Linked DNA regions of Elephas maximus indicus. The protein of the gene in region 1 interacts with the protein of each later gene in a pairwise test. Links are inferred from orthologs where the notes say so. Each region holds a gene or a part of one and is shown on either strand. Other genes may lie near its edges. The genes, in order: CFL1 and ERBB4.

Region 1 (14,837 bases):
GGGCCTGGCGCCTCTCCTCCGTAACACATAAAACCGTGAACGTTTATGATTTTTATTGTAGCCCAAAAGATTTTGGTTAAAAGGCTGGCTAGCAGCCAAGTGGGGGAAAGCAGGGGCCCATCTCACAGCACGGCTCAGGTCAGGGGACCACAGTTACAATAGAGCTGGGACAAGGTCCTGCTCAGAACAGGCCCCAGATTCCTGCAGGGAGAGAGGCAGGTGAGGTCAGACCCTGTGCCTCAGGCAGCCCCGGCCCCCTGGCACTCCTTCCAAGTCTGTCCCCTGCCCTCACCTCTGCAGATGCCCACACTTAATGGTACTCAGCAGCATCTCCTGCTCCTTGGGAGTGGCACAGGCATCATAGGCAGCCAGGAGGCTGGGGGTGGGGTGGGATGTTGCAGTTTCTGAGGCTTGACCATGGCTGGCTGCTGGCCCACTTGGAACCCAGCTCCAGGCCAGCACCATGGACGAGAAAGCAGGAAGGGGTCTGCATGGGTTCTAGGGGTCAGGATCACTGCCCCACTTCCTGAGCCTGGCACTCAAGGCCCTGGGGGCTGTCCCCTGGAGCTTGGGCCCAGCCTCACTCTCCTTTCCCCTCAGGGCCACACCCTGTGCAGCCACCCCTGGAAAACCCCAGGGAACCCTGAACCAGGGGCCAAACCCTCTACCTTTCTGCAGGAGCATGAGAACAGGACCAGCAAAGGTGCCAAAAGCTCCTGCAGGAGATGCTCCCCGAGCCTGGGCATTCTCAGGCCAGCAAAATGGGCCATCTTCCGAGCCCAGCTCCCTCGCCTTCCCTCCAAGGAGCCTTCTCTGCTTCTCCAGGCCTAATAGTCTCTCTCCTACCCGTGGCCTCCCCCAGCGTTTAGGCCACGGTCTGGTCCTGGCTGGTTCTGTCCCTCTCCTGGCCCTAGTCCTGTGAACTACCTCGGGTTCAGCTGGATCACCCATCTCTGGGTCTGCACAGTCCACACAGAACCGGGCCCCCCACGAAGCACTGGCTGAGCTGAATTTAATGCAGGGACGGAGGGCCTACCTGGCAGGGGTGCTGTACCGATTGACCAGGGCTGCCGCCTTCTCCCCACTCACTCCGCGCACCTGCATCAGCTGACGGGCAAACACCTCACGGATGGACTGTGCCTGGGGGGTGGGACAGGGACCAGGTCAGGGCTGGTCTGGGGCCAGCCACGTGCGGAGAAACCAGGCAGAGACAGTACCTTGTTCTTAATGGCTCCTGCGTTGAAGTCACTGAAGGTTAGGAGTGAGCACAGAGGATTTGGGGAGGGCCTGGCCCCTGGTTCAGGGTCCCCTGGGGTCCCCCATGGGCGGCTGCATAGAGTGTGGCCCTGAGGCAAAAGGAGAGTGAGGGCCGGGTCAGAGCTCCAGGGGACAACCCCCACCCCGTCCTTGTGTGATCTACGCATCAGAGAACCAGTCTGAGAAGTGGGAATACTACCCACCCCCCATCCCTCAGGGGAATGGAGGCCAATGCCCAGCAGGTACATCTGCTCACCTGATAGAGTCTCTGCAGGCCCCGTGTCAAGAGAGCCAGGTAGGCAGCTGACTCCTTAATGTCTGCTGTGCGCTTCACAAAGAACCCATCGATAATCTGGGGAAGGGGGCCCAAGAGAGGGAGGGGGCTCCTGAGCACAGCCACCAACCATGAGGCCCGTGCCAACCTGGCCTGCCCTCCCCTCCAGCTCACCTGAGTGTTGGTGACAGCCTGCAGCAGGGTGCTCTCGGGAAGGCTCAGGTTGTGGGTGGAGCCATGCTCCTCCACCAAGTATACCCGGCGCCCCAGGCCGCAGCGCTTCAGCCGAAACTGGGGACGTAGGCAGAGGAGAGAAGGCTCAGAGTCACACACTGGTCCCGTCTTCATCCCTGACCCGTCCAGTAGTCTCAAGGCAGCCGCTACCTTTTTACTCATGCTGTGACTGAAATCTCCTCCTGCCCTCCCTCAACATGCTCATTCTTTAAGTCGCTCTTCCATCTGCACGTGGTCTCTCTGACTATAGGACCAGCAAAGTGACCAGTATGGGATGTGGCCTGTGCCATTCCCCTCCTGGAGATCTGGGCCTTATTTATCCAAGACTGCAGGGCCTGGCTACTCAGAGGTCTTTACTGTGCTCCTCCATCTAGCACAAGTATCCTGCACACCTTCATGCTGTGTCCCTAGTGGGCCTGCTCCCAGGGCTGTCCCGGAGCAGCTCTCCTGGGTGTGTGGCCAGCCCAGAAGTCCCCCTGGATTCCTCCGGGCTGAGGAGGAAGCCCCAGAGCTGTGGGTGTGTCCTGCAGCAGGGAGCAGGGGTCACAGGGCGAGGCCAGTGAGCAAACCTTCTGCTCCCGGAAGCGGCCGTCAATGATGCTGCTGCACAGGTCATCCAGCCGCTTGCGCTCCACGATGTGGTCCAGCACGAGCTCAACAGGCCTCACTACCAAGGGGCCAAGGAGAGTCTCATTGGCTCGTGTCCCCCCACCTGCCAGGCCTGCCTCTGACACCCACCCACCTAGGGCCCCTTACCTGGGTCTCTGGGCCTGGTCTCCTGTGCCACCCACACAAAGTCCCCAACGTGTAGCTTTCGGACTGTGTGGCTCACATGCAGCCGCTGCAGCTCACGGAGCAGCTCTGGCCTGTGCCCAGCTCTGGAGTTTTGAGGCAGGGGCCTAGGTCAGGGCAGGCCAAGAGCCCCCTAGTAGCATCCTGACTGCTCCCTCTCTCCCCACTGCTCACCCTGTGGTCTCGCTGACATCCACACACAACAGCACCCTGTACTCGCCAGGCCCCAGCTCCAGCAGTGGCTTTTGGGCAGTCACTTCACTGGGATCCCTGTGGGGAAAAGGGGCTGGTGTGTGTGAGGTAAGAACCCCAGTGCCAAGGCAGTCCCCTTCTCCTCCCCCTAGAATGTGGAGCAGCCAGAGCTCAGCTAGGTCCGGAGGTGGGAGTGGGGAGCTGGCCTCATTTCAGGGAGCCCTCATGCTCCCCCACACCCCTCCCACTCACAGCTTGGACAAGCCTGCTCCCGGCACTTCTGGCTCCTCCCCAGCAGGCTCCTCTGGCCCTGTGCCCATATTCACTAAGCTCAGGCCCTCCGACTCGGCCAGCTTCTGGGCCAATTCCAGCCCCTCCGGGGTCAACGAATACCTGGGAGATGAAGAAGACGAACACAAGTCTCCCTTCTTCAGTCAGACTAGGCAAGCTCTCCTGCCCGCCCCCAACTAGGGTGGCCGTGCCACCCCCTTGGCAACCCTGTACAAGCAAGCTCAACCCCTCCCAGCCCTAAAATGTATAATCAGCTTAGCTTTCTCCGAATCTGCCCAGCACTACTTCTCAGGTCTCCAGTAAGTCCGTCCCAAGTCTTCTTTCCTCTGGGTTCCTGCTCATGTTGTTCCTCCTGGAATGCCTTTCCTGCATCCTCTCCACTGAGTCCTACAGCATGTCAACTGCCACCTCCTCAGCAAAGCCCTTTTGTTGCCCCAGTAACTTGTGGCACCCCTCCTCCCTCCCAGGCCCTCAGATCCTCCAGGTACCCGGACAATGTGGGACCACAGTGCCCGGAGTGAGGCCTGGGCCTTGCTGAATGACTGCAAGCCCCACTAAGAATGTGAAGTCTGCTCCCCACTCCCTATATCCCCTGCAGTTGGCCCCACCTGGCTGGCTGGTGTGTTCTGAGAACAAGGTTCCGGTGGAGGAGGGATCGGAGAGCTGGCCAAGGTCGAACATTGCCAGAGACCACCTGTCGACAGAGAAGGAAGTCCTCAGGGAGCCACTGGTGCCACTAAGTGGCCACACTCCTTCTGCCCCCAGCCTTGGGCCAAGCCCCACACCACAGCCCGCATCTGAGAAGGGCAGTCTCTGGGGGACTGAGGATCAGACTCAGAGCCGCTCAGCCCGGTCTGCGCCTTACCTTAGCGCTCACCCTGGGAGCCTTCTGGGCACATCTCTGCAGCAGCTCCTCCTTGGTTAGGAAACTGCAGCCACTAGGATTCTGAAATCAAGGTTCAGTGCCTGGGTCCCTCCACGCTGTGCTTACTCCCTTAAGCACCCCATCGCCCAGCCCTAGTGGCTGGATGTTCTTTACCACCTTGCCCCAGCCAGGCTTTTCAATAGCCCCCGGCCCACTGCCTCTGCCCTGGTACTCACCAGGTGCTCCTGGTAGAGCAGCAACAGCACAGTGCGGGCTCCTGAGTGCCGGGCTGGCCAGTAGCTGCCAGAGCCTTTCGATCTGGGCTGGGCTGGAACCTGAAGGGTACGGAAAGCTCTGAACATGACAGCCAGTGCCTGTTGCAGAGTCCCTGGCTAGGCCGGGACACCTGAGGGTTCAGGTTCTGTTTCAGCAGGCCCAAAGCAAGTCACTCAACTGCCTCTCACACTCCTTAGCTGTAAAGTGGGCCAGATAGTGGGAATATCCTCTGCAAAGCTGGGATGTGGCAGTGGGCCATTATGGGGTACGGGACGGTGGGGGTTGCCTGGCCAAGCCTCAGTTCTCCTGGTCCACCAACCTGCGCTGCAAAACTCAGTAACAGCAACCCCTGCAACTTACTGGGTTGGGGTTCCATATTAGCTTAATCACACAACTCTGCGGATAACTCTACTGTCGATATTCTCACCTACACACTAGAAAACTGAATCTCAAAATAACCACTTGCCTGAACCCAGGTATCATTAATGTAGCTCTTTGAACACTGGCCTGCTTAATTTTCACGTTTCCTCAAAGCAACTCACATCCCCTGAGAAAGCCAACCACCAAGAGCTGGAAATATTACTTTCGGTACACCCACCTGCCTTGCCACTCCCCCTTGTTCTGTACTCACCGGCAGGGAAGGATCCCGAGCTTCCGCAGGTGGCCCTTCCGGGGCTGAACTCTTCTCTCCAGGTGGTGAGACCGAGGCATGGTCACCTGTGGGGGCGGAAGAGATTCACTCCCGGACCCCACAGAATCTGGCAGGCGGGGAGGGGCTGGGACGCTGCCTGCTCAAGCGGTACGGGAGAAGGGTGAGGCTCAGAGAGAGCCAGCCGCTAGTCCGAGGTCAGACAACGTGGACAGGAGTGGAGCGTTTGAAGCCAAGGTATCCAAGGTGGGCACGAACGCTGCACCTGGTGCGGCAGAGGAAGACCGGCCCTCGCCCTTGGCGCTCACCGCCCGAGGCTCGGTGCTGCTGCAGCCGCTCGTCCAACATCCGACAGAGCCCGTCTCCGAAGTGCTGGAGGATCTTGGCTTCCTTTCCGCTGCGCAGGGGCAGCGGGTACCGCCGGAGGGAGCGCAGCGCCTGCGGGAGCAGGGGGTGCGGTCAGGCCGGCCTTGGGGTCCAGCTCGGCCAGCGTCCGCCCCAGTTAGGCCGGCGCGGACCCCACCTTCTGAAACACGAAGCGTGTGCGGCGCCCCCTGCTGGCTGCCTCGTCCCTCCACTCGGTCAGCCAGCGTACGAAGAGCGGGTTAGGGCAAACGGGCAGAGGCCGCTTCCGGCCCAGGCGGACCGGCGCCGCCATGAGCCCTGGGGCCGGCCCTCGGGCGCCTCACGCCGGCGGAACTGGGACACCACCAGCTCCGGAGTTGGGATTCGAACACCAGCTCGGAGGAGGCGGGGCTTCCCCAGTCACGTGGTCCCACGCGGGCACTAACTGGGTGATCGCCTCCCTTCCTCGCCCCCCGCCCCTGCACTATTCTAAGTGGCCGGCTCAGATTGCTGTCTCTACACACCACCGCACTGAATCAGCCTTTGGACGCACCCCACTTAGGACCCTGGAGCCTAGACCCCGCCCCTTCCTCCCACCCCAAATTCGAGAGCGGGGCCCTATCTGTGCAGGCGAGAGGAAGGCGGACAGCGCCCCTTGTGGCTGGGAGGACGGGCCGGGGACGTGTTTAACGGAGTAATCTCAGCTTGGCTTCTTCAAAGTCCGCTGGCACTTTCAGCCTCACCCTTACAGAGGATGGGGGAGAGGACTGGGCTGGAAAAGAGCCCAGAAGAGGTGGGGGATGCAGGTATATTTTCCAGAGTGACATCTAGGAGGGGATGCAGGGCATGAAGATACAAAGCTAAGGCAGAAGGAGTTGAAGGATCTTCGGAGGAAATGATGATCACGGGCTGGGGGACACAGGGCAGAGTGGGGGACGTGAAGTCGGGGACAGGCAGAGAACACTGAAGCTAGGAGGACACGGGGGTCGGAAGACTGGTAATAAGGGGACTTTAACTAGGAGGTGCTGCGCATCCTGAGAGATGGTGGCACGTGGCTGAATTCGGGGAAGCAGATAGAAGAAGCCCAGAGAAAGGTAGAAGGGGAGAATGCTTCGTCGTTTCTGTGGCTCATTGGAGATGGGGAGCCCTCAGGGGGATCGATTAAATGTGGGGATTCTGCAAAGTGGCCCCAGGTTGAGGGGCACGTACAGAAGATTGGACACAGGGATCTCGCCAGGGGGTTGGAGCAGCCCATAGGCCACCAGCTGTCATGCCGGAAGTCGCGAGGTGCAGCTCTCGGGCCTGCGAAGGAGCTTCAGGTCCACCCTTGCAGACTCCGCCCAGCCCGAGATCCAGCATCCCCAGCCTGCTTAGGCCTCCCGCCTCCCGCCCGACGCGGCCTTATAAGGAGCCTGGAGCCGGCATTCGGGCTGGCTCCGCCCCCTCCAGTCTCATGCCCTAATAAGGACATCTAGGGCATCCTGCGGCTGGCGGCGGGCGGGAGAGCGTTTCCAGGGTAACTGCGAAGCCCCCTTCCCCCTCCTTGTTGCTCTTGGAAACTCCGAGGCTCGAAATAGGTGGAACCAGGCTCCCCTCTGACTGGGGTGCTGGCGGGAGGCGGCGGTCGAGCTGTGGCCTCCACCTGGGCCTCCCGGATGCTCGGCTGGTAGGTGGTGCTGCGGGATGTCCCCGACTACAATCTCCGGCATGCTCTGCGAGGTACCCCACTCCCTGGTGTCGCTCCTGGGGTCTTGAAGACTGGGCTGCCTCCTACTACTTACACGTTGTTTTCTGCTATGGGATCAAGGCCACCAGTTCCGTTTATGGGTATGCCTCTGACGTGTTTGCGACCCTTCTCTTCTTGCAGAGTGTGCAGTCTCATGATCATCTTTCGGAGCCAACGAAGTCTAAGCACATCCCAAACAGTTCCATTTTATTTAGGCGTATGCGCCCACAGAGCTTGTGTCTCAGTTTTGCGGCTATTAATCATCTACCTGGCTATCATATCAACCTGAACGAGGTTCAAGTCTGGTTTAATGTCTGTTTCCTTGCTGCCAAATAAGAGATACAAAGAATCCTTGGACTGAAATGCACAAACCCCTTTATTGCCTCGTGAATGAATGACGTCTGCCAAGCACCTTTAAATAAAGACAAAGCCCTCCTTTGAAAGTTTTTTTTCCCCCCGTAGCCTTTCCCTCGCTCGTGCGCGCGTCTGTGTTTTCCCCTATTTTTATTTTACTAAAGTTGCATGTGGCCTTTTTGAGGAGACAAGAGTGGCTTCGGACACGGAGGACGTTCAGTGAGTGTTTATTGGATTGAAGGCTCCTTATCCTTGCGATTCTCCTTGTTTTAGGACTGAATTCCAGACCAATGGAGAGTTGTTTCAATTCAGAAAAGCAAAATCCTAATCCCACTAAAAATTTTCAGACTAGGAGATCTAGAAAGTGTCAAGATGGGTATATTATGAAAACCGTTTCGCTCAAGGGTGAAGGACAGCAAAATCGGGGTTCATTTTTGTGTCTTCTTTAAGGTTAGCCAGGGCCTATCGCTCAGCTTCGAGCGTTTCCTGGGAAACTCCACCAATGGGCGCGCGCTCCGTGCCCTTCACTCCAGCCCCTTCGGCTGCCTCGGACTACATTTCCCGGCATGCAGTGCGGAGCCCCTACTCCAAGAACCCGAAGACGGTGCAAGACTCTCGGACTTCATTTCCCGTCGGCCCGCGGGGGAAGCGCCGGAAGCCCGCCCCGCCCCTCATTGTGCGGCTCATACTAAACGGAAGGGGCCGGGAGAGGCCGCGTTCAGTCGGATCCCGGCAGCAGCTGCAGCGGCTCTCGTATTTTCTGGCTCTCTTTGCCGTATCTTTTTCGTTTCCGGAAACATGGTGAGCGGCGGGCCACGGCGCCTGAGGGGAGGTGGCTGCGGCTCGGTCGCCTGAGCGCGGGGGAGAGGACGGGGGAGCGACGTCGGCACCCCCTCCCCCAGCGCTGCGGGCGGGACGAGGGTCTCGCGCTGAGGGGCGGGCGGTGCCGGGACGCGCGTGCGCGCCCGCGGGCGCCGGAGAAGGCTGGCTTGGACGTCGCTCGCGCGCCCCCTGGCCTCCCTTCCCCCACCTTGCTGGTGCGCCCGCGCGGACACCGGCCGTGGGGGGAGGGGTGCGGGACGCGCGCGCGCTTGCTGGCCTCTCGCGGAGTGGCCGGTGGCGCGCGCCGCCGCGGAGGTCGGTGCGAGTCAGTTCACGGGGGGCGCGCGCCCGTCGGGAGCACGCGGCATCCGAGCCCGGCCGGGGGCGGCGAGGGAAAAGCGCGCAGGAGGTATTGGCGCGCGCGCCCCACCCAAGGGCTGTTCCTGTCTCCGCGTCATCCTCCCTCGGCAGCAGGCAGGCCTAACTGGCGAGCAGGTGCCAGGGATGCCTGCGCCCGGAAGGGGCCAACGGGATGCCGGGTGCCTGGGTCCGGGTGGGGACGCAGGCACCTAGGAACTGGATTTACACCGCGCGGCACGGAGCGGACACCGCCGAGGCCACAGCCCGGCCCAGGGTCGAGTGCGCCTACGAAGGGAGCCGGGCCCTGGGCCCCGGCTGGAACAGCGCCGTCCCCGGCGCGTGCGCACATGCTCAGGTCCGGCCGCGGGGGCCGAAGCCTTCGACAAGTGGGGCCGTCGGCCTTCCCGGATGGGGCCTGAGGGTGGAGCCGCGTTTGGGGAAGTGACCCAGGCGGGCAGCGCCCGGAAACCACCCCGCCCCCTGCGTTGGGCCTGAGGGCTTGGAGAACTGAAGGTTGTGTAACTGCCCAGGCTCCGGCCTGCAGCATATGGGCTCGCTGAACGCCTGTAAGGGTGACACCCGGAGCTTGAGGCCCTGGAGGTGTCACTGTCGCTAGGGTGTGGGTTTCTGTTTAGGAGAGGGGGCCGAGCGGAGCAGAGCTCCTTTCCCCGCCCACTCCGGAAGCGACTAAATCACGTGGCTGGCTTCCTCCGCAGTTCCGGGGGTGGGGGGTTTCGGACTTCATGGTGGACAGTTGCTCCGTCTCCTGCTTGGGCTGTCCCCCAGCAGGACACAGGGTAGAGGTTTAAAGAGCTCTGGAAGACCCTGGGCACTAGAGTTTCTCCTGTTTAACATCTGTGAGCGACCTGAGGCCGTGCACCGTTTCCGGAGGTCAGGGTGTTTTTCGGCTGGGCCCTAATGGCAGTTGTGATCCGGCTATGGGTAAAAGAAGATCTAGCAGGGAAGGGGACTGTTTATATAGTAACTGCATTGGTCATTTCTGATGGACTTGCTAGAACTGTCGGTGTCTTGCCTAGCGTTTTGGGGTCCTGGTTCCCTGTTTTGTGAAGTGAAGATCGTGGCTTGGGTGTTGGGGTCGTTTTCTCTCTTCTTTGAAGTTCTAAGTCAATTCTTATCCGAAGGTTGAGATTGAATATTGTAAGAGAAAAGTTAGTAGTTTATGGATTATCTTAGGAAGGTTCAACAAAGGTTTAGTTTTTCATGGGTCTTCAATTTCCTGGTCTGTGAGATGGAGATGTTGAGCAGCATGACTCAGAGGTCTCTTCCGTGGTTGCCATTCCAGGCTTGTGTACTATCTGGTCCTTTGACAGGGGCTTGGGTGTGACAATTGTTTTGGGAAGGCAGTTAATGACATTTTTGGGATATGGGACTGTGGACTATGCTTGTTGGCATCAGACCGGGGTCTTTTGAGAAAGCAGGGGGGAGACTTCCAGGGGATCTCAGAAACTTGTTCTTCATAAGATGTGTGTGTCTCATTTCCCAGGCTTCTGGTGTGGCTGTTTCTGATGGTGTCATCAAGGTGTTCAATGACATGAAGGTGCGCAAATCATCGACGCCAGAGGAGGTGAAGAAGCGCAAGAAGGCAGTGCTGTTCTGCCTGAGTGAGGACAAGAAGACCATCATCCTGGAGGAGGGAAAGGAGATCCTGGTTGGTGACGTGGGCCAGACTGTTGATGACCCCTACGCCACCTTTGTCAAGATGCTGCCGGACAAGGACTGCCGTTATGCCCTCTATGATGCAACCTATGAGACCAAGGAGAGCAAGAAGGAGGATCTGGTGTTTATCTTTTGGTGAGCTTCTCATTCAGGCACTTCTTCTTGTTACCTGCCCTAGTTCCTTTTCTCAGAATGGGAACCTCTGTGGTTCTTGGTATAACCCACCGATGTGTGGGGAGGGGTAGTCAGTTGTCACAGAGCATCTACTATCAATGAGAAATTCCAGTATGTGGATGCTGAAAGTCATCTCACGGGTTTTTTGAAGTCATCTATTACTGCTTGAGGGAGATTGCTGGACCCAGAGGAGGGGACTGTAATTTCCCTGCTCTTTCTCCTTCTAGGGCCCCTGAGTGTGCATCCCTTAAGAGCAAAATGATCTATGCTAGCTCCAAGGACGCCCTCAAGAAGAAGCTGACAGGTAAGGGCTGGCTGGCATTGGTGGTGCTGTATGCCTGCAGCTCGGGGTGCGGTGAATAGCGTGATGGAAGAGATTGTCCCCCTTCCCTGCCTGCTGGAAAGTAACCTTGTCCCCGTCAGTCTGCTCTGATTGGCTCCCTCCCAGCCCCCACACCCCATGCTTCCTGCTCAGAGTTGCTTTTCTTTCCCCACCCCAGGGATCAAGCATGAAGTACAAGCAAACTGCCTCGAGGAGGTCAAGGACCGTTGTACCCTGGCAGAGAAGCTAGGAGGCAGCGCTGTCATCTCCCTGGAGGGCAAGCCATTGTGAGCCCCCTCCAGCCCCCTGCCTGGAACATCCGGCAGCCCCAGACCTGCTTGTGGGGGCTGCAGGCTGCCCCCTTCCTGCCAGACCGGAGAGGCTGGGGGGATCCGAGCAGGGGGAGGGCAATCCCTTCACCCCAGTTGCCAAACAGCGCCCCCACCCCCTGGACCTTCCTCTTCCCTCCACCCCGAAGGTTCTGGCCTTCCCAAATCGCTTTTGATCTTCTGATTCCTCTTGGGTTGAAGCAGACCAAGTCCCCCCAGGCACCCCAGTTTGGGAGGGGCCTGTATTTTTTTTAACGACACCCCAACTCCCCACTTGTTCCTCCCCATTCCCAGGCTGCCAACTTCTAACCGCAATAGTGATTTTGTGCTTGTCCGTTTAGTTCTGTGTATAAATGGAATGTTGTGGAGATGACCCCTCCCCACGCCGGCTGGTTCCCCTTCCTCTCTTCCCCTGGTCACATCCACTTGTTTGGAGGCAGGGCCAGTAAGGAACCTTCAATTAAAAAAAAAAGGAAAGCTTGCTAATGGGATGTTTGTTACAGGGTTGGGGCCTGGGGGGCTTGCAGGGGTGTTGGGCTAGAATGAGCAGCATTTCTTCTTTGCACAGTGATCCCCAGCAAGCCCCATGCATCCTGGTCTACCTCAGCGCCTGGCTGAGCCTATCTCTGAGATCACCACTCTACTGCTTTCTGGGTGGTACCACAACGGCGCCACATTGGCTATTCGGGGGGTGGTGGAGCCAGGGTGTGTCTGCTGCTGCTTGCAGGGGGTCTTTAAGTAGAGTGGCCTTATGCCTGAACTGAGTATCTCTGGTCTCATTCCTGTGGGCACTGAGGCTTCTTGGCTGTGAGATTTTTTGCATGTCACAGGTTGTGTGGTAACGTATTGTCTATGTTCTCAAGATTTTGTTTCGTTTTCCTTCTGACTCTTCTGCGGGATGGCTGATTCGCATTTATGAGAGTAGAGGGTCAGGTCAAGTGGCTGCTGTGAGTCAGGTGAAGTTGAGCCTTTGGCCTTCTAGATGTGGTTGGAATCTCTTAGGGTGTGGCCAGCCAGGTAGAGCCCAGGACTTCAGACCCAGGTGTCTTGGGCCCCACCTCCCAGTGTTTAACCAAGAGGGTGGTGGCTGGGTTGGAGCCTTTTGCCAGCATTGCTGTCTTCAGCCTGCACTTTGGGCTTTCACCTGCCTGGCAGGCAAAGGTATCCAAGGCGCCTGGGATAAATTGGGGGTGGTAACACAGGGTTCATTCTTCCTCCCTTAACCAATGAACTGGAAAAAGCGTGAGCGAGAACTAGTTCTTTAGATTTTTGGAACTTAATAGCAGCTCTAAGGGAGGCAGGAAGGAGTAGTTCTACTTTGCTGGTTAAAAAAACCAGGGTAGAGGACTTGTAATTGGTTCTACTCGTGTCCAGCTAGGGTTTGTGGGAGTGGGGGAAACCTTGAATGCTGCTCCTGGGGTTCCAAGCCTGAGTTCTGCACGTTCCTTTGGAGAAACTGCTGAGGACACCGCAGGTTGTCCCCGACTTGGTCCCACAATATGGCCCCAACAATGCCCTGGCAGAAGGTGGGCCCAAGTGTGGGAAACGAGGACTCCAGCAAACCCCTTGCTAGAAAACCAGGTTCTTTATTAATAAGTGGATAACAGGTGGGGGTAGACGTGCTTTTCCTCCAGGGTGGTGGGTGGGTGGGGGCTGTCCTCAGCACCCTGGGGAGGGGAGGTCAGGGCCTCTGGAGGTGCCCAGTCCTGGGGCTCTGCTTACCTGTGGCCAGTACAGTGCCATGCTGCCCTCCTCTTGAAAAGGCCGGGCTCAGGCTGGCCTAGGGGAACTGGGGGTGTGCTAGTGGCTGCTGAGGTGGGGCCTGGGGGCCCCTTGTTACTGGAGGTCCAGGGACAAGGATTGGTGTGCTCTGGTTGCTCTAAGGCTCCCCCTTGAGGACAGTGGGGGTGTTCTGGAGCAGCAGTGTGCTGGCCTGGAGGGGAGAGGTAGGTCCTTGATGTTCTTTGCCTGCCCTCACCCTGCTCCTAAGACTGGGAGTTGTACTTTCTGAATCTCAGATAACGCCTGCCACACCCCTGCCACCTACAGAGTGATTTGCACCAACGAAGAAAGAAGGGCAGGGACCTGGCCCAAGATGGGGAAACAGGGTTCTGAACCTCAGCTGGAGCTGCTCATGAGGTGCTGGACCTCCTCCTGCCCAAAACACACAGACTTAGTAAGCAAGTGTGAGAAACTAAGAACCTAGAGGCCTGGTGGTGGGGGCCGGGGAGGCCAGAGGTTCACCTTGGCGTGTTTGAGCTCCAGCTCTGCCAACTCAGTGAGGTTCTTGCAGAAATAGGAGACACGATGGGACCTGAAGCCTGTGAGCTCTGGGGAGAAGAATGGGAACCTGGCAGGGCAGGTGCCCAGTGGTGGGGGGTCAGGGCGGCAGGGGCTCACCCTGCTTGGCTGACTCAGAAAGGCGTTTCAAGTGCTGGAACCGCAGCTGCTGGTGGCTCTCGGGGCACACCTCCTGGTTCCTGGTGCGTGTCTTGCCTAGCGCCTTGTTGGCAGTCTCATAGTCAGCCAGTGCCCTTAGCCGTCGGTACAGCAGGTCCTGGAGCCAGCATGGGCACAGGACCGCTCCTGCCCACAGCCCTCGCCACCCTACCTGGGTTGACCATGCCCACTGGCCTCCAGCCCACACCTACTCTGGTGCTGCCTCTCACCTTGGCCACCTGTGAGTCATACCTTAGTATGTCTGATAGCTTCAGGTCCTGGTCAGAGGCCACACGGTTCTCCAGCTTCTGTTGGGAAGGTAGGGGCTCGGGAGGGAGCTAGCCAGAGAGCAGCTAAGGGATGGGGGGGCCTCCTCAGCTAAATACCTAAGAGAATTACTGATACCACTCTACATCAAGCACTGATATTAAGGGAAACAGGCTTCACTGAGGAGGTGGCGTCTGACTTGGGTCTTGGGGGTTTAGTAGGAGTTAGCTAGACAAATAAAAACCAAAGATCTGCAGGTATGGAGGCCGGGTATGTTCAGGGAACCATACATTTGGTGTGGGGGCTGTTGGCCAAGGCAGTGAAGGGAGGCAGTGGCCAGATCACAAGACCTACAATGCAAGCTAAGGACTTCGAGCTTTGTGTTGGGCAGTTTCTGGAAGGGACAAGGTCACTGAAGAACCTTGAGCAGGGAAGAGATGGGATCCAACAGACATTTTAGAAGGATTAGCATATTCCAGTGACTTTCTTGGAGAAGAGTTCAGGAAGTGTGCATCTGGGGCAGGATGTTGGCAGCAGGGTGCAGCCTGACAAAGGCACGTGGCACATCCTTGTGCCTCACCCAACCGGGTGCACTACCCCCCTGCCCCATCACCACACACAAACAACTCGAGGCTGAGCCCTTGTCTCTGCCACACCACTTCTTTTTATACCTGAGTGTGAGTTTTCACCAAACATTCCAAAATGATCCTGGGGCTTTCCCCTGTCCCATGACTTGTTCTTGCTGGAAATGATCACTGGGGAGACTTCAACACAGGTGTACTCACCCTTAGTGGTTCAAAGAGTTCAGCCAATTTTAGGAAGCTCCTAGGAGGCAGTGGGGAGGAGGTTAGGGCTTGTCCCTCCTTGGAGAAATCTCCCCCTCCCCCTTCTCTCCCAAACCCCAGCAGGTCATTCTGCACCTCCCTGCTAGATGGTAAATAGCCTTCTACAGAGTGACCCCTAATGGACAGACAGCATTGCAAGCACAGGGAGAGGGCAGGAGGGGGAACAGGGAGTCCTCACATCTTCAGCTGGTTAACTTCTTGTGTTCCTAGATTGCTTAGCACAGCTGAGATAGGGATATAATCAATCGCCTGCCAGGCCTGCTGGGGAACAACCCCCATCAGAGCCCCTCCGTCTGCACATCAACCCCTACCTCTGCTGACTGTGGCCACTGACAGGCACTAAGGCT
Region 2 (14,799 bases), on another chromosome or scaffold:
TTTCAAGCCATAAACTTGAATGTAAAATACCTTTACACACAGGCATGAAAGATTTCGATAACCTAAAACATTTTTTTCTTATTATTTTAAAACACATAGCCTTTGTAGTCTGTCTCTTCTTTTTTTTTTTTTAAGTGAACACTTCATTATCGAGATTTGCTGACATTACATTGAGTAGGGAAATGCAGGGCTCAGTACAGCAAGACCTCATTTTTACTTTCTCTCTCTCATTAAAAAAAAAAAAAAAAAGTTGATGTATTTATTTTCTTTCAAAAACAATTATTTGAGAGGAGAAGTGAGGGAAAGGGTAAAAGGAGGTTATATTACCTCTGGAAGTATTTCCTTTGGAGTTTTTAAAATATCAGTGTCATACTGAATTAGAAAAAGGTAATAGGTAGTAGAATACTGATTACTTAAGGCAGTAGAAGAAAGTAGAAAATCTTTTTTATCTTATAGTAAATATTTAGGAGAAATTATATATATGTATTATATATGTTATTTACATATACATATATAAAAAAATACATACATATATATATAAATTACCAAACCCACTGCCATCCAACCGATTCTGACTCAGAGTAATTCCATGGGGTTTCCATGACTGTAAATCTCCACAGAAGCAGACTGCCACATCTTTCTCCCGTGGAGCAGCTGGTGGTTTTGAATGGCCAACCTTGCCATTAGCAGTAGATAGTTTTTAACCACTGCGTCACTAGGGGTCCTATATAAAAATTAGCAGCTAGTATTTTTTTTAATTTGCATTTTACAGCAAATAAAATGCGTTTAGATTTAAGCACAGCCTTGAAGATAAGGCTGTGCTTAAATCTAATCATGTTAAGATATAACGAAAATTAGTTTGGGACTGACTCATGCCCTTTATATAATATTTTGAGAATTATGATGCAATGAACCCTCTGAGAGTATTTAGAACAGTATTCTAAACAAAAATAATAGAGAGACAGAGAACATCTTGCCTGACCATTATGTTTTCAGTATAATGCATTACATCTTCTCTAGTGTGTTGGGGAGTTCCTAAATGGAGTGATAAGGAGATGCAGTAAGACAAGTAGTAATTCTATTTGTCTAAAAGTGTTCGTTTAACAAAGTCACATTAAGCTGTATGAAGCACACCGCTCCTACCCAGTCACTCTATCTAATAGACAGCAATAAATTATCACCATTGTTTTATTTCCTCCCAGTATTTGATTAGACAAAGAACATTTTTTTTTCTCTATCAGTTTTACCTAAAATGAAGACATGGAAAGAGTGGGGAGTCAGTATACATGTATTAAACAAACAGAAAAAACCCAAACCCCTTGCCATCAAGTCAAATCCAACTCATAGCGATCCTATAGGACAGAGTAGGACTGCTCCATAGGTTCCCAAGGAGCGCCTGATGGATCTGAACTGCCCACTTAACCATTATGCCACCAGGGTCTCCAGACATGTATTAGTTAAGATAAATATTAATGCCTTACATTGTAATAATCCCTGCCAATATCATATTCTTAAAAATAACCATAAAATACACAAGTTTGCAATGATACTTTGCACTGTGTAAGCAACCATTACAAAAAGTTATCCTGTGTACTATTTTTTCATTCAACAGCAATTTTAAAAGAGTAATATTGATTGTTTATAAGTTGATTTTATTTTAAGAGTAAATTAGGCTCATTGAAAACCAGAAATGATCAGTATGAAACATGACATTTATACTATTAGTACAATAATTCAAAATAGATTGTGAAATTGATTAAGTTCGTGTTACCTAAAAATTGTTTAAGTAAATGGTCTCCATTGTGGGTAGATAAAAGACTCATTGATCAAAAAAGATTTCTCTAGCAGCTTTCTATTTTCCCTTATTAAAATTGTTTTTTTAGATATAGGTGTTCATACTTCAGATTCAAAACATTGTCCAGCCTCAGCTTTGCTGATGCTGCTCTTTCTGCAGGGGGTTCACTGTATCAGCTGCCGGGATATATGTGGCTATTGCTTTGATACGTTAGCACATTATTAAAATGTTTACTGTATCAGCAGTTTAAATATTTTAAGATGGATGTGAATCAAACTATGTTCATCGTTGAATTTCTTAAATGATAACCCAATACCCCAAAAGCAAAAGATTAACTAACCAGTCTTTATTTTTAGAATCCTTATGGACAAATTAAGGAGGTAGGTGAAAAGGGAAAACATTTATTAATCTATCGATATGAATTATAAGCATCCTTCTGAAAAAAGTATATAAATACTACCACACATCGTTTTTATCCCCAAATATTATCATTCTTCTTTGTCATCAAACTCAATCAGTATAACTTTTAATTATTTTTAAAATATTATAATTATTGTTACAGTTCTGGTAGTTTCTTCTGGACCCTTTTCACTGGTGAATCGAAGTATTAAATGCTTTAGAACATAGAGTATTCTATAGGATGGTACAAAATTGTTATTCACTAGTGGCCAGGACCAAATATAGGAACTGCCAGATGTCTTAGACCTCATGACAGATTTTTCAGAAGTGAAGACGGACTTGGTAAGGGTAGGCACCAAGGGAATTGAAGAACTACATTAAAGGAATGGGAAATGGGTTATACTGAGAGGTGATTATTGGGCAAGGAGGAACCGGGCTATCGAAGTGTGGAAAGAAGACTCAAGAAGTTTAGGACCCTTTCTGGCTCTTAGAACCTTTTTTATTGATGCTGTGAAGATTTATGCATCACTATACAAACCTGAAAAGAAAATACATGGTTTCTAAATGATTACTTTAGTTGACAATTGGCAGGAGTCCAAGAAAACATTCTAAGAACTCTTTGTGTCCTTAGTCAGAACAACGTTCATTTTTGTCTGCAGACTTTTGGGAAATCTATGTGTTAACCATAACACGATTAAGCTCTTTGCAGAGTTAAGAATAAAGAAGGAAGGAAGCGGAATATAGAGGCTACCTGGAGAAGAAGCTCTGGTTGCACAGTGGTTAAGCATCTCACTGCTAACCAAAAGGTAGGCAGTTCAAACTCACCAGTTGCTCTGGGGGAGAAAGATGTGGCATTCTGCTTCTGTAATAATTTACAGCCTTGGAAACCCTGTGGGGTCCATATGAGTTGGAACTGACTAGCAAAGGTTTTGCCTGGAAAAGAAACTAACACACTTTTCCTTGATTCAGATTTCAAGTCAGGTACTGTCAGAGCCTCAATAAGCAACCTCACTAGTTAGTTTACTTACATATACAGGCAATCCCTGGGTTACAAATGTCCACTGGCAGACAACTTGCCCTTCAATGTTATATAAATTTGCTCTTACTTTGAAACAACTGAACCAACCCTTACTGGCAACAAATTCTTCATCACGATCACCTTCACTTGCTGCATGTGCAGTTTCTAAATAATTGAAAAGTCTTCAAGTTTTTTCTTGCACTAAAGTAAGCTAAATAAGAACCATACACACCTGTTCCAACTTACCTACACGTTTAAAGACTTAAAGTCACCGTTAGGAACAGATCTCTTTTGTAACCCTGGACTGGCTGTACACAGGCACTCAAAGAGAAAAACGTTCCTTTCCTTTCTAGTTTTCAGAAGTCAATGGCAACTGTTGGTGAAGGTTTACTACATATTGAAACTTACAAAGAAATAGAAAAAGCTACAGGGAACACAAGAACTTGGGTTAAGAAAATATTTAAAGCAGATACACAAGAGAAAAAGGCTTTACTAGGAAAATCATTTTTGTATAATTTTATTGGGAAAGATTGCTAAGTCCACAGGGCTGAAATTATTTTGCAGTTTCAATCACAAACCGGAAAGGTCTATAAGAACTTGGACAGACACTGATGAATGGACATAAAGCAACACGGAATTGATTTACTTTTTAGTCACACCTCCTGAGCTCTTAAAAAATTAAGGCTTAATCACGTATATAAAAGGAAAACAACAGTTATTAACCCAAAACAAAATGATCTTGGGGAGGACTTCTTTGAGTGTTAAATTAATGTAACAAAAACATTTCTTTGGTTAGTGCATATTAATATATTCAAACATTTATTGAGCTTTGGCCTTAAAAATTAAATGTCACCAAATATCAGAGAATGCCAGAAATCAGAGGTTTAAGAGCAAAGCTATTATTTCAAGTGCTGAGTTAAAAAGCAAACAGAAAATACCAATATTGTGTTTGTCATCTGCTTGATCACCATAATACTGAATCTGACTGGTACTCAGCAACATTTCCTCTTAACTGGTAGAACAGTAAACATTCAATTCTTTACCACTACACAGTGATATAACTGTGAGCCTATCTGAATATTTTCCTAAGGTAGTTTAAGACACGTGTCTGCGTGGGTGGTCCAGACAGAGATGTGTATTGTGGGTAAGCGGGAAAGAGAAAGGAGGAGGTATGAGAGAGTATTAAAGTCTGTGAAAATTATGACTTACACTTAGTAGATGGTTAGTAAATCATAGACCCATAAAGTCTTGAAATTGAGAGTTTACAACAACAGGCATATGAAGCATATGAAGTAACTATCTCAAGATCACAAGATAACTTAGAAAAATGAATGGGGAGAAAAAAATAGAACCCTAGATTTATTTTTAAATATTCATAAGAAGATAATGGATTTACAATAGCGTTCCATTTCTTTTCTTAGTTGATATTTGTCCCCAATTTATATATATATAACTAATGGCAAAATGTGCTAACAGCAATCTCTAATCTCAGAAACAAACTAAAGATTATGTGAACTGTGGAATTCTGGGACAACGCTAGGGATCTACTTCGAGACTGAACACTCAGTTCAGTGTGTTTCTTTCTGGCACCATCATCATTCTGTCACACATGATATCAGAACTCTTTTTTTTAAATTATATTACTAATGGAAAAAATGAAGTGGAGAGGGGATTCAGGAGAGCAGCCCTGGACAAAGGCATCTATATGTCATGGTTATGGCTTCAACCAAAGGAAATCATGAGAAACCAGGAAAGGAGACTCAACAATATTGGCCATATCAAGATGTCTTCTTCAAGGATCATACTGGCATATATAATCTCATTTATGTTGGAGGGTCCCATTTTACACTCTTTAGGTTTCAGGTAACAAAAATGAAAACTGAACTAGCTGAAGGAAAAAGGGGGTTTGAAAAAATAAGCCTCAGGAAGAGCTTGGATATTCTCCAGACCCATCTGGGATTTTGCTCCTTTCAAATGGCAGCTTCATTCTTTCTTACTGCAGCCTAGTGATCTCTACATAGAAAGAAACATAGCCAGGCCAGGTCTGTAAATCTAGATCTCAAAAGCCACAATGAAAGACTGAATATGAGCTGTTTCTTTCTCATGCACACAGTCTCAGGGAAGAGTCTCAGTGGGAGTGACCATTTTTCACCTAATCAACAGTAACCTAGGCATTTTGATTGGTTCAGTGTAGAACTGGAGAGTCGGGGTAGGCTGTACCATAGAGGCAAATTCAGGTTAAAAATGTAGATCTGGAGGAAGGGCAGTTCCTCGAAATGGGGTACTAAGCAGATAATCTCCGGTGTTTGTCTGTTGGTTAGTAAAATACCTGTAGATACAACCATGTTAGATTAGTCAGTTTTATTTATTTTTTTTTTCAGATTTCGAGTAACAACAACACATGTAACTCAGTTGGTAGAGATTTATCATAAAGATGCATAGGAAAGTGAAGAAGTACAGAGATCAATTTTAGCAAGCCTCTAGCAATCCAGTTAGTATATCCCTCCTTCTACATCAGGTAGTAAATTGTCCCTACTCTGGTGTTCCTTCTTTATGACTCAGCCGAGACCAGAAACAAAATGACAGCATATACAGAAAGAACTAATTCTTGTCTCTGCCTCATGGCTTCTAATTTCTCATCCTTCAGACTTGCCCCCACAGGGTCCCACCCTCCTGTCTACATCTCCAGGTCTTAAATGATCTGAACTAGGCTCTGATTGGGAAGACCAGTCATCCTGAAATGTAGGATGCTTCTGCTTGGTAGTGCTTTCATGCCAATCCATCTTACAAGCTGCTGGTCAGACAATCACTTTTAACCAGGACCAATCATGTTTCAATTAGTTAGAGAGAGGAAAATGGGATCAAAGCAGAACAAACTGAGTATCTGAGGCCTTGTAGAGGCTATCTAGTATATATACACAAACACACACACATACAAAATAGACTAATTTTTTAACCAATGAATATTAATTGAAAACCCTCTTTTGCAAAGAATTATTCTAGAGGTGATGGGTGAGACCAAGATGTATGGAATTCCTGCCACAGAAGAGTAAGTATAAAATTGATGGGGGAGTGGGTGGTAAAAATGATCACAATGGATATGAGTAGAAAAAAAAAACCCAAAATATCCAGACTATTTTTTGCCCACAATTTAAGGTAAAATAAATAACCCATTTCTCACTTCTTACAACAGAACTGGTATCAGAAACAAAGACTTAGTTTTTTTAATAATGGAAATTTTAAAAAGAAGTAGCTTTCATGGAGGAGAGGTGTCTAAGAGTCATAAGAAGCAGAAGGGGATTTAAGGACAAAAGAGTGAGAAGAGATTGAATGAAAGGAAAGAAACCAGAGGGGGTGGGAGATAAAAGTAGAAAACAAAGATGATCCCAAAGAGCAGTAAGCACAGTTCTGCACAATCAGTACCATTCTGGTCAAGTCACCATCATCTCCTTTAGGCTTAACTGCTTCCCACCCTAGGCTGCTTCTGGGTAACAGAGCATGCTCATCTCCTTTGGCCTCCTCTCAAGGCCTGTTACTTGCTCTGGGCCTGAGAGGGAAGGCTTCAGGCTTCTGGGATAAGACTGCTCTTCCTATCTGTTCTCAGCTCCATGGAAATTCTTAAGGGACAGAGCTCTAGATAAAAGCTGAGGAACAAAGGAGAGGTCTTAAATGATGAGTGAAGAGGCAGGATGGCTTGATTTTTAAGCTCCCCTGATACTTTCTATTTATGTATTTGCTACTTCTAGAGAAAGCAAAAGGAAAATAATTCATACGTGAAATGCCTGTGCAAATTGCAAAGCAATAACCTACTACCCTCAGGAGGTTCTGGCCCCTGCCCTGGGTATAGTTTCAGAGTTATAGAAGGCAAGGGGTATGTATACTGATATGACCCGGTCCCAGGATATTTTAGATCCAGGGAAGGCCAGAGACTTCCAGAGCTAGCAATGACCTGGGACTGGGACCATGAACTTGCAGAGTGAGAACATGGAAGGGACCTAAAGCTTGATTCACTATAGAATAATCCTAATCATTTGAGGTCCGTTATCTCCTGACTTGGCCGCCTTAAATTCTTTCATACTAAACAGCTCACACTCTGGGCAACTTCTAGCTTTTCAGGACCAAATCAATACCTTTGGACTAGAATCTGAATAATGAGAATAAACCCAAACCAAGTTGTCCTAGAGCCCAAGAAAAGGGTGAAAACACCTATAAAGTCTAAAATCCAAACAATTTTACCTCCCCCTCCCAAGAAAAAAATCAAACCCATTGCCTTGCAGTCCATTCTGATTGCGACCCCATAGGACAGAGTAGAACTGCCCATAGGGTTTCCAAAGAGAGAGGCTGGTGGATTCGAATTGCCGACCTTCTGGTTATCAGCCCAACTGTTAATCACTGTACCAGCAGGGCTCCAAAAATTTTACAATCCATACAAATGTGGAGTTTTAGTTCGGCTCAGTGTCAGCCAGTTTGGGAAGGTGGGTGTTGGGAGAGACTGCATAGATGGGGAAGGAGGATGATTATACCCCACCACTACCTAATCTGCGGAGGCTCACACTACCCAAAAGTCAGTACTGAGTTTTAAACTATTTGCTTAGTGTGGAGCATGGGGGAACAGGGGAAGGAGGGAAATGTTTTGCCCGAAGCGACGTGGATTTTGCTTCTATTTCTAGGGATGTCTCTGGCTGTGGATTAGCACCTTGGGGCAATGGCGAATGGTGACTTCGTTTTTACGAAACAACCTTTAAACACCCCTCCGGTAATTTGCCCACTCCGCGGGCCAGCTGTCCTGGGCTTCTGCCGGGGCGGGAGGGGGAGTGTTTTAGTCGGTGGCCTCGGATTAGCCCTTTAATACCAGCTTCCCCCGCCCCCAACACCCTTCTCCATCTCCCTGACAGGTGTTTTCCCAACTCCTGAGGCCGAGGATTTTGGGGAGTGGCTGAGCCAATAAGATTTCCCTTTGGGGGGGGCGGGGGAGAAGGCGTGGCTAGTAGGGTCAGAGCAGGGGCGGGGATTGCGCGGCTGAGCAGAGCCTGCTTGGTTGCGTGGAGGGCTGTTTTATTTTATTTTTCCGGAGTCTCATTAATTTCTCTGTGGGGCTGCAGCTGGAGACCGCGGAGCGTTGGAAATGACGCTCGGAGCTTTAATTACCGCAGCCGCCGGACAAGTGTGAGGAAAAGCTGCGAGGGAAAGAAGGGCAGAATCAGGGGAGAAGCGAGAAGCTCCCCCCACCCCGCCCGCCCCTTCCCTCCTGATTTGGACTGGAGGTGCAGGGACCCAGAAAAAGGAGCCGAACGTAGCCCGGCTGGGGTGGAGAGGCCGGAAACCTACCGCCTCTTTGCAATCAACTTTTTTTGGAAACCTTTTTCCCCCTTCCTTTTTATTGTTGACCAACCAGAGCGAGAGAGAAAGTGAGGAGGGAGCGAGAAAGCAAAGGCTCACACGGGGACGTAGCTGCCCAGTCCGGCCGGCCCGAAGCACCACGCGCACACACTCGAGCACACTCCCACCGCACACACCCGCACGTATACTCGAGCCCCCTCCCCGGCCCCGGCCCCGGCCCCGTGCGCGTGGACTCCTTCACCCGCCTCGGAAGCGGTTCGCCGCGCGCGCCGCCCGCCAGCCCCCCTCGCGCCCCACGCGCTCCGGGCTGAGGAATCTTCTCCGCGTGCCAGAAAGGGGATATGCCATTTGGACATGTAATTGTCAGCACGGGATCTGAGACTTCCAAAAAATGAAGCTGGCGACAGGACTGTGGGTCTGGGTGAGCCTTCTTGTGGCGGCGGGGACCGTCCAGCCCAGCGCTTCTCAGTCAGGTGGGTCGCGGTTCCTGCTTCTCGCGCTCCAGTTGTTGAACCTGCTGCCGCCGGCTTGGTCGCCACGGGTGGCTCTCTCACCCTCTTGGTCCAACCGGAGACCCGCTCACTCCCAGGCGTGAAAGGACCACCCGATAGGGGCCTCTTCTTTGGGCTCTCGGTAGCCCTTCTTTCCATTCCTAAACTTACCCTGTGTGTATGTGTTTTGCTTTTGGTGAAAAATCCCTCTGCGTCCCGGCCCGCCTCTTTTTTTTTTTTTTTTTCTCTTAAACTCCCCTTTCTCTCGCGTTTTCTGTGAGCCTTAGCGGGATCCCTGTGGTCGCGCCTGTTGTCCGGGACATGCGAGAGCCAAAAGCTCAGTCAGAGGACGCTAGCCTCTCGCAGTCTCTGCCCGAAAAGGAAGAAGCCTGGGGGAAGCGTGCCCCGGCTGGGTGGCGGTGCCTGGCGGGCTCCTAAAGGGGAACGAGCTGTGGAAGGGGAGCTCCGAGAGCGGGCTTGCACCTGTGTGCGTGCTGGCGGGCGCTGCGCCCCCAGTCGCCGAGCCTTGCGGGGTCAGACCTAACTAGAGCCCAGCCGGGGCAGCCGGGGCGCGGCAGGCGGGCTCGCCTCGGTCCGGGGGCCCGGAACCCGGGGCCTCCTCGGCCGGCGTCTGGGAGTGCATTGGCTTGAGGGGCGCTGACTTGCCAGCCTGAGCTCTTTAAAAAAAAAAAAAAAAAAAAAAAAAAAGGCCTGGCACACTTGAGGCGGTTGCTGTGTTTGGCTCGGGGAAGAGTTGTTCCTGTAGTTCAACTTGCTATTGGCCGGAGTCCCTCCAAGTTCTCTGTTTACAGCCCGGCGGGGCTGCGGAGCCGGCCCGTCGCGCGAATTGATTTACCCCGAGGCGGGCGCGGCGGCTGCGCTCCAGGCGCGGCCACTGTTTGCTGGAGAACTTGAGCCCGGGATACCCCGGCAGGCCCTGGGCTCAGTGAATCCCTAAAGGCAGCGCAGCGGGGCCGGCGCTCCCGGCGGGCAGGACTGCTGACTGCACCTGCCGTGCGAGGGAGCGCAAAGTTTCTGACACTTGAGTTTCCTGGGAGATGACAGTGGGACAGGAAAGGAGAACAGAGGGGAACCCGTGGCCGAGTCGAGGGACAGGGGCCTTTTGGAGAGCCGGGTAGATTTCCGGATTCATCCGGGGCTGGTCACGGGAGCGTGGGAGGCGGCTTGAGGAGATAAAGCTTCCGGAGGAGGCGATAGGGAGAGCTTTAGGCCCCCGGAGTGTGTCCTTCTGACCTCACCAAGAAAACTGCGCGCAGTAGTTTTCCCGCTCCGCCTCCGCCGCCTCCCCCTCCTGCCTTGGTACACAACAAGTTATAATCGTCCAGGCTTTCCAAATGACCTTCGAATGGCACATGTGCACCGTTGGCGCTGGCCGTTTGTACCCTCCCAATTACTCCGAAATTCTTCATGCATACCAAGTCCCGCTCTCAAGCCGCCTCCAGAATTGTCACACCAACACAACACGGTCTGGAGATTCCAAGCGGCCTCTTAGATAACATCCCTTTTTTATCTCCCGCCCCGCTCCGATTCCCTTCATATTTTCCTTCAATGGGTTGATTACGCACATTGACCCATTCAAACGCAGTTGCGACTGCCACGCAGGGTTAGCTGAGAGGAATGTCAAGGAAGCGACCTACTGGGGGCTGTCTGGTGCAGCCTTAGTCGCTGGGGGACCCGACTCGAGTCCGCAGCAATTTGTTATTAACTGTGCGGCTCGGGGGTTAAGTTATGCCGAAAAGCCCTTTTCAGAATTTTTGCAAGGAATGTAATCCAAATTAGTTCTGCAGCTGTCCTCTTCCTCGTCTCAGGCGACACCGGCTCGCGCCCTCGCTAGTCTCTTCTCACTTCCCCCGGGCGAATTGTCAGACCCACAAGTGAGCCCATTTAGAGCGCAAGGATTAGCGTACCATTGTTGTTCCCTGTGTGACTCTGTACTTGAAATTCTAGGGGCACAAAGGCGAGCCTCACTTGTTCAAAACACAAAGTGATCTAGATGAAAGGGCCGCACAAAGAGCTCTCGGGCGCATCCCTGGTCTAATTGCAACACGCATACTCAGGTGATCCACTGGAAACTGTAAATGCCCTTGGGGACTTCTTTTTTCATCCTCTCTCCCCCTGTACGCCGCCGCACCTGGCAGGGAAAGTTAAACTGGTTTTAATGTAGTGCTATTATAAAACCAAGTTACTGTCTGGGGCGTGAGGGAGGTTCCGTGTGTTTGTGACTGTATGTGTGTGGCTGTGTGTTCCCAAGTAAATACATATTGCATGTCTCCCCTCTTGCGGTTAGCAGTCAGTAGCAGTTTGGAGGAGTTTGTTTTGGTCCAAATGAGAAATTAAGTGCGGATAAGTAAACTAAGCTGCCAGAGGGCGACAAGATGTTGAGTGAATTGCTTTTAGATGAAACAAATTAAGGAAACGAGGGAAGACAATCTGCTTCTCGCATTATTAGACACGCTTGGAGTTCAGGGGAAAGTGGCATATTTTTGAAATGCTAATTTCTTAAGAAGCAGAAGGAATGCACCTTATTTACTGCTCTATGTGAATAGAATTAAAATATTGGGGAGATTCTATAGTAAAATCTAAAGATATTTCTTACAAGTAATTTTAAAGATTTTTCTTACAAGTAATTTTAACTGAAGAAGACCTGGTTTTATTTATTTATTTCTTCTTTTGCTTTGAAAGAAAATCAGCTTTAGAGAAGATTATTTTTTCCTAATTCTGAAAAACTTTGTCTCATTTCCAGTGATTTATTTTATCTAGAAATGTTATAACCAAAGGCCCTTTAGAGAGCAGTTATAAAGCCTTTACTAACCAAAGGAATGATTCCAAAATTGCAGTCTTCCTTATGTGATTAAAATATATTAGTTTGTATCGAAATAAAATGTATAGTACTATTGAAGTGTGTGCTCTTACATACCTTAATAGGTATGATGAACGAGTTCAGTTTGCTTTTCCTATTTGCAAGTAACTTAGTCCTGGTTTTTATTTTATAAAAGTACACACATCTTTCCGACATATTTAAGATCCATCATGACACCTCCAAACTTAGGTGATTTTTACATTTGAAAAGAAAATTATTAATAAAACTTACAGTTAAATGGTGTAAAAGGTAGTAAATACATCTTCCAAAAAAAAAAAAAATCAAAACCATCAATCCTCTTTCCTACACGTGTTTACTCTAAGCGCACCCATGGGTCCACTGTTTCCTTTAGTCCCTTTTGGTTTTGAAATTTTATATATGGGAACTTCTTTAGAAGTTTTTTTTTTTCTTCTTTAGAATACTTCCAAAGAGATTAATGCCTGTTACTGTAACTGCAAATCACTTGAAAGTACTGTAACTATTGGCCCTTAAAAAACTGAGTGACTCTGGTTGTGTCATGATTCCTCATCTCTTGATTTTTTTTTCTCCTAAACTCAACTGCCATTATTTATTTTAATCATGCATGCATTAAAAAGTAAAATTTTGTTGAAATCAAGGCACTTACTCTGTTACATATATTTTCATTTAGTCACTGAAAATATGTCTTAATTAAGAAATTACATTAGAATGTTTACGAGGGCATGCACGTCGTAGATTTAAGCATTTTTCACTCTTTCCTGAACATAGTAAGTTTGCATTGGCTGATTTTTACAGTTTGCATTCATTTGAGGGAAAAATCATATTTTCTCTTTAAAGTGGATTCAAATATTTAGTATTCATGAGCTTTTATCCCTTTGGTACTTAAATAGAAGTACTATTTTTCATCTGTCTTATGCATTCACCCTTTGTATTACTGTAGATTCTTTCTTTACATCTTATTATTTATTGAGTTTATGCATGTGCATATATGTTTTTTTCCCTCCATTACTGAGTGTATCCTTTTTGTGTGTGTGTTTCTTTCCCAGCAACCTGCCACTCAGCCACTGCAGGAGCCTTCTGAGTCAGTTTTCATTCTTTCTTTCTGTTAAATCTGATATGGCTGGATGGCTGGAGAATCACAAGCCATTCCATTCCTCAGATTTATTCCTGAAAGAAAACAAAAAGGCATCGATCCAAGATCACTAGCACATCTCCAAAGCCCTGACTCCAAGGCCAAATCTTTCCACAGAGAAGTCTCTCTTTCCCTCTCTCCCTGTTTTTCCCCCTTGACCAAGGAAGGAGGGTAGACTACTGCCCTTTGAGAAATACCAGGGATGCATGGGTTTATGCCATTTCTAAATACCCTCTGAAGCTTGGTGATGAGATCCACCTTGAGATTAATAGCTATGTAAGGTGCACATTTTAGACAATAAATTGAATTAGGCTATCTTAAGCATTGCAGTGCTTTAAAGTCCTATCATTTTTCTGTTATTTCAAGTCAGATTTGTAAGCACCTAAAACATAAATGAGGCATATGATCCAAAAAAGATATTGTGTTTGTTACCTAAAACTTGTGAGGGCTTGCTCTGTTTGATATCATCCTTTTCAGACATGTTGATTTATGGAGATGCAAGTATTTACATTGAAATTTGCTTATATACATCCAAGCCTACAGCTGTTCTACAAAAAACTAATTGTCAAGCATATTCCACTGTTACATCTTTCACAGTAATCTACTGAGTATGCTATGCAGGGTAGAATTTCATCATATTGGAAACTTTCCTCCAGGTTATATCATTTTAGAGATGTTCTCTTATGTTACATTTCACCATATGGAGCCAAATAGCATCTTTTGTCTAATACTCATTTTCTGAAATATTACAAATATTGGGAAATGAGAATAAAATCTTACTTTTCATGATGTCTGTTACAGCTATTGACTGGAGTTTATACTTTATAATGAAAAACAACCCCGTCACCCTCCTTTTTTGTTAAAAATAAAAAAAATAAATAAATATTTCCTGCAACTATAGCTCTTCCAAATAATTTGAAGGAGACTCGAACTTTCTATTTCATGGATAAGTGTGACACAGGAAATAGGTGGCTTTAATCAGAATTTCTCTATTCTAGGGACAGCTCTTTCAGTTTCTTCTTAATATCTTGAGCAACTCCATCTCTTTGTGACTTACTTAGCTGGTGTGCCTGGGGTGGGGTGGGGGGAGAACACATAAGGCCCTCTTTATTTTTGCGCTCTGTAGCAATTTTCTGAAGAATGGCTGAAAGTCTTCTGTGATACTGAGATACATTCCAACAAGAAGGTAATTGATATATTTGATAGAATCGGTGTGTGTTCATAAGCATAATGTAAACTTCCTAGCAGACCATCTAGGAAGATGAAGAGCAGACGAGCAGCTGTCTAAATGAAAGAAAGAGAGTTATTAACTCTAAAGAGTTTATGTTTCAAGGCTCTTTCTCACAAAGATGGCTTTTCAGAATTGTTCGATGGTTTCTTTAGATTTCATTATATATGGTGTTTTCTGAGTCATTGCTGGTTCTGACATGTTTTTTAAATAAATTAACCTGTTTTTAGTGCTTTAATCAAAGCTTTAAATCACTCTCTTATTTTTATATCTAACATGTGAACTAATGCTTTCTATTTATACTACTTTTTCAAGAGGGAAGAGAGCCCTCTCACTTTTATGGTATGTAGGTGAAGTATACGTATTTATACTTCATTTATATGTATTTATAAAGGGATTTTTTTGAGCATGTAGTAATTGTTTTATAATTATTTTCATTTTGAATAAGTGATTGCTCTTCAAGCTGTTAATTGGCACAACTCCAGAGGGCACCAGCCACACAGAATTTAATAGGAATGGTGCATGCCTGAGCTTTG

Evidence for each region.
Region 2: the proteins of CFL1 (region 1) and ERBB4 interact in a protein complementation assay, tested with the Homo sapiens proteins (2 studies listed by BioGRID and IntAct, with this or other methods). The link is inferred for Elephas maximus indicus from reciprocal best matches to the Homo sapiens genes CFL1 and ERBB4.

What each region holds. Positions count from the first base shown.
Region 1 is NC_064825.1:128,989,615-129,004,451, reverse strand, and holds CFL1 (cofilin-1), read left to right. Parts: upstream 1-7,946; 5' UTR 7,947-8,053; coding exon 8,054-8,056; intron 8,057-9,240; exon of another isoform or gene 9,241-9,328; intron 9,329-9,941; coding exon 9,942-10,249; intron 10,250-10,515; coding exon 10,516-10,592; intron 10,593-10,788; coding exon 10,789-10,901; 3' UTR 10,902-11,421; downstream 11,422-14,837. Other genes in the region: crossover junction endonuclease MUS81, read right to left, coding at 135-201, 293-487, 1,037-1,140, 1,218-1,346, 1,514-1,609, 1,706-1,822, 2,335-2,432, 2,522-2,643 and 8 more.
Region 2 is NC_064824.1:111,011,684-111,026,482, reverse strand, and holds the start of ERBB4 (receptor tyrosine-protein kinase erbB-4), read left to right. Parts: upstream 1-8,241; 5' UTR 8,242-8,943; coding exon 8,944-9,025; intron 9,026-14,799. UniProt on the Homo sapiens protein: Tyrosine-protein kinase that plays an essential role as cell surface receptor for neuregulins and EGF family members and regulates development of the heart, the central nervous system and the mammary gland, gene transcription, cell proliferation, differentiation, migration and apoptosis.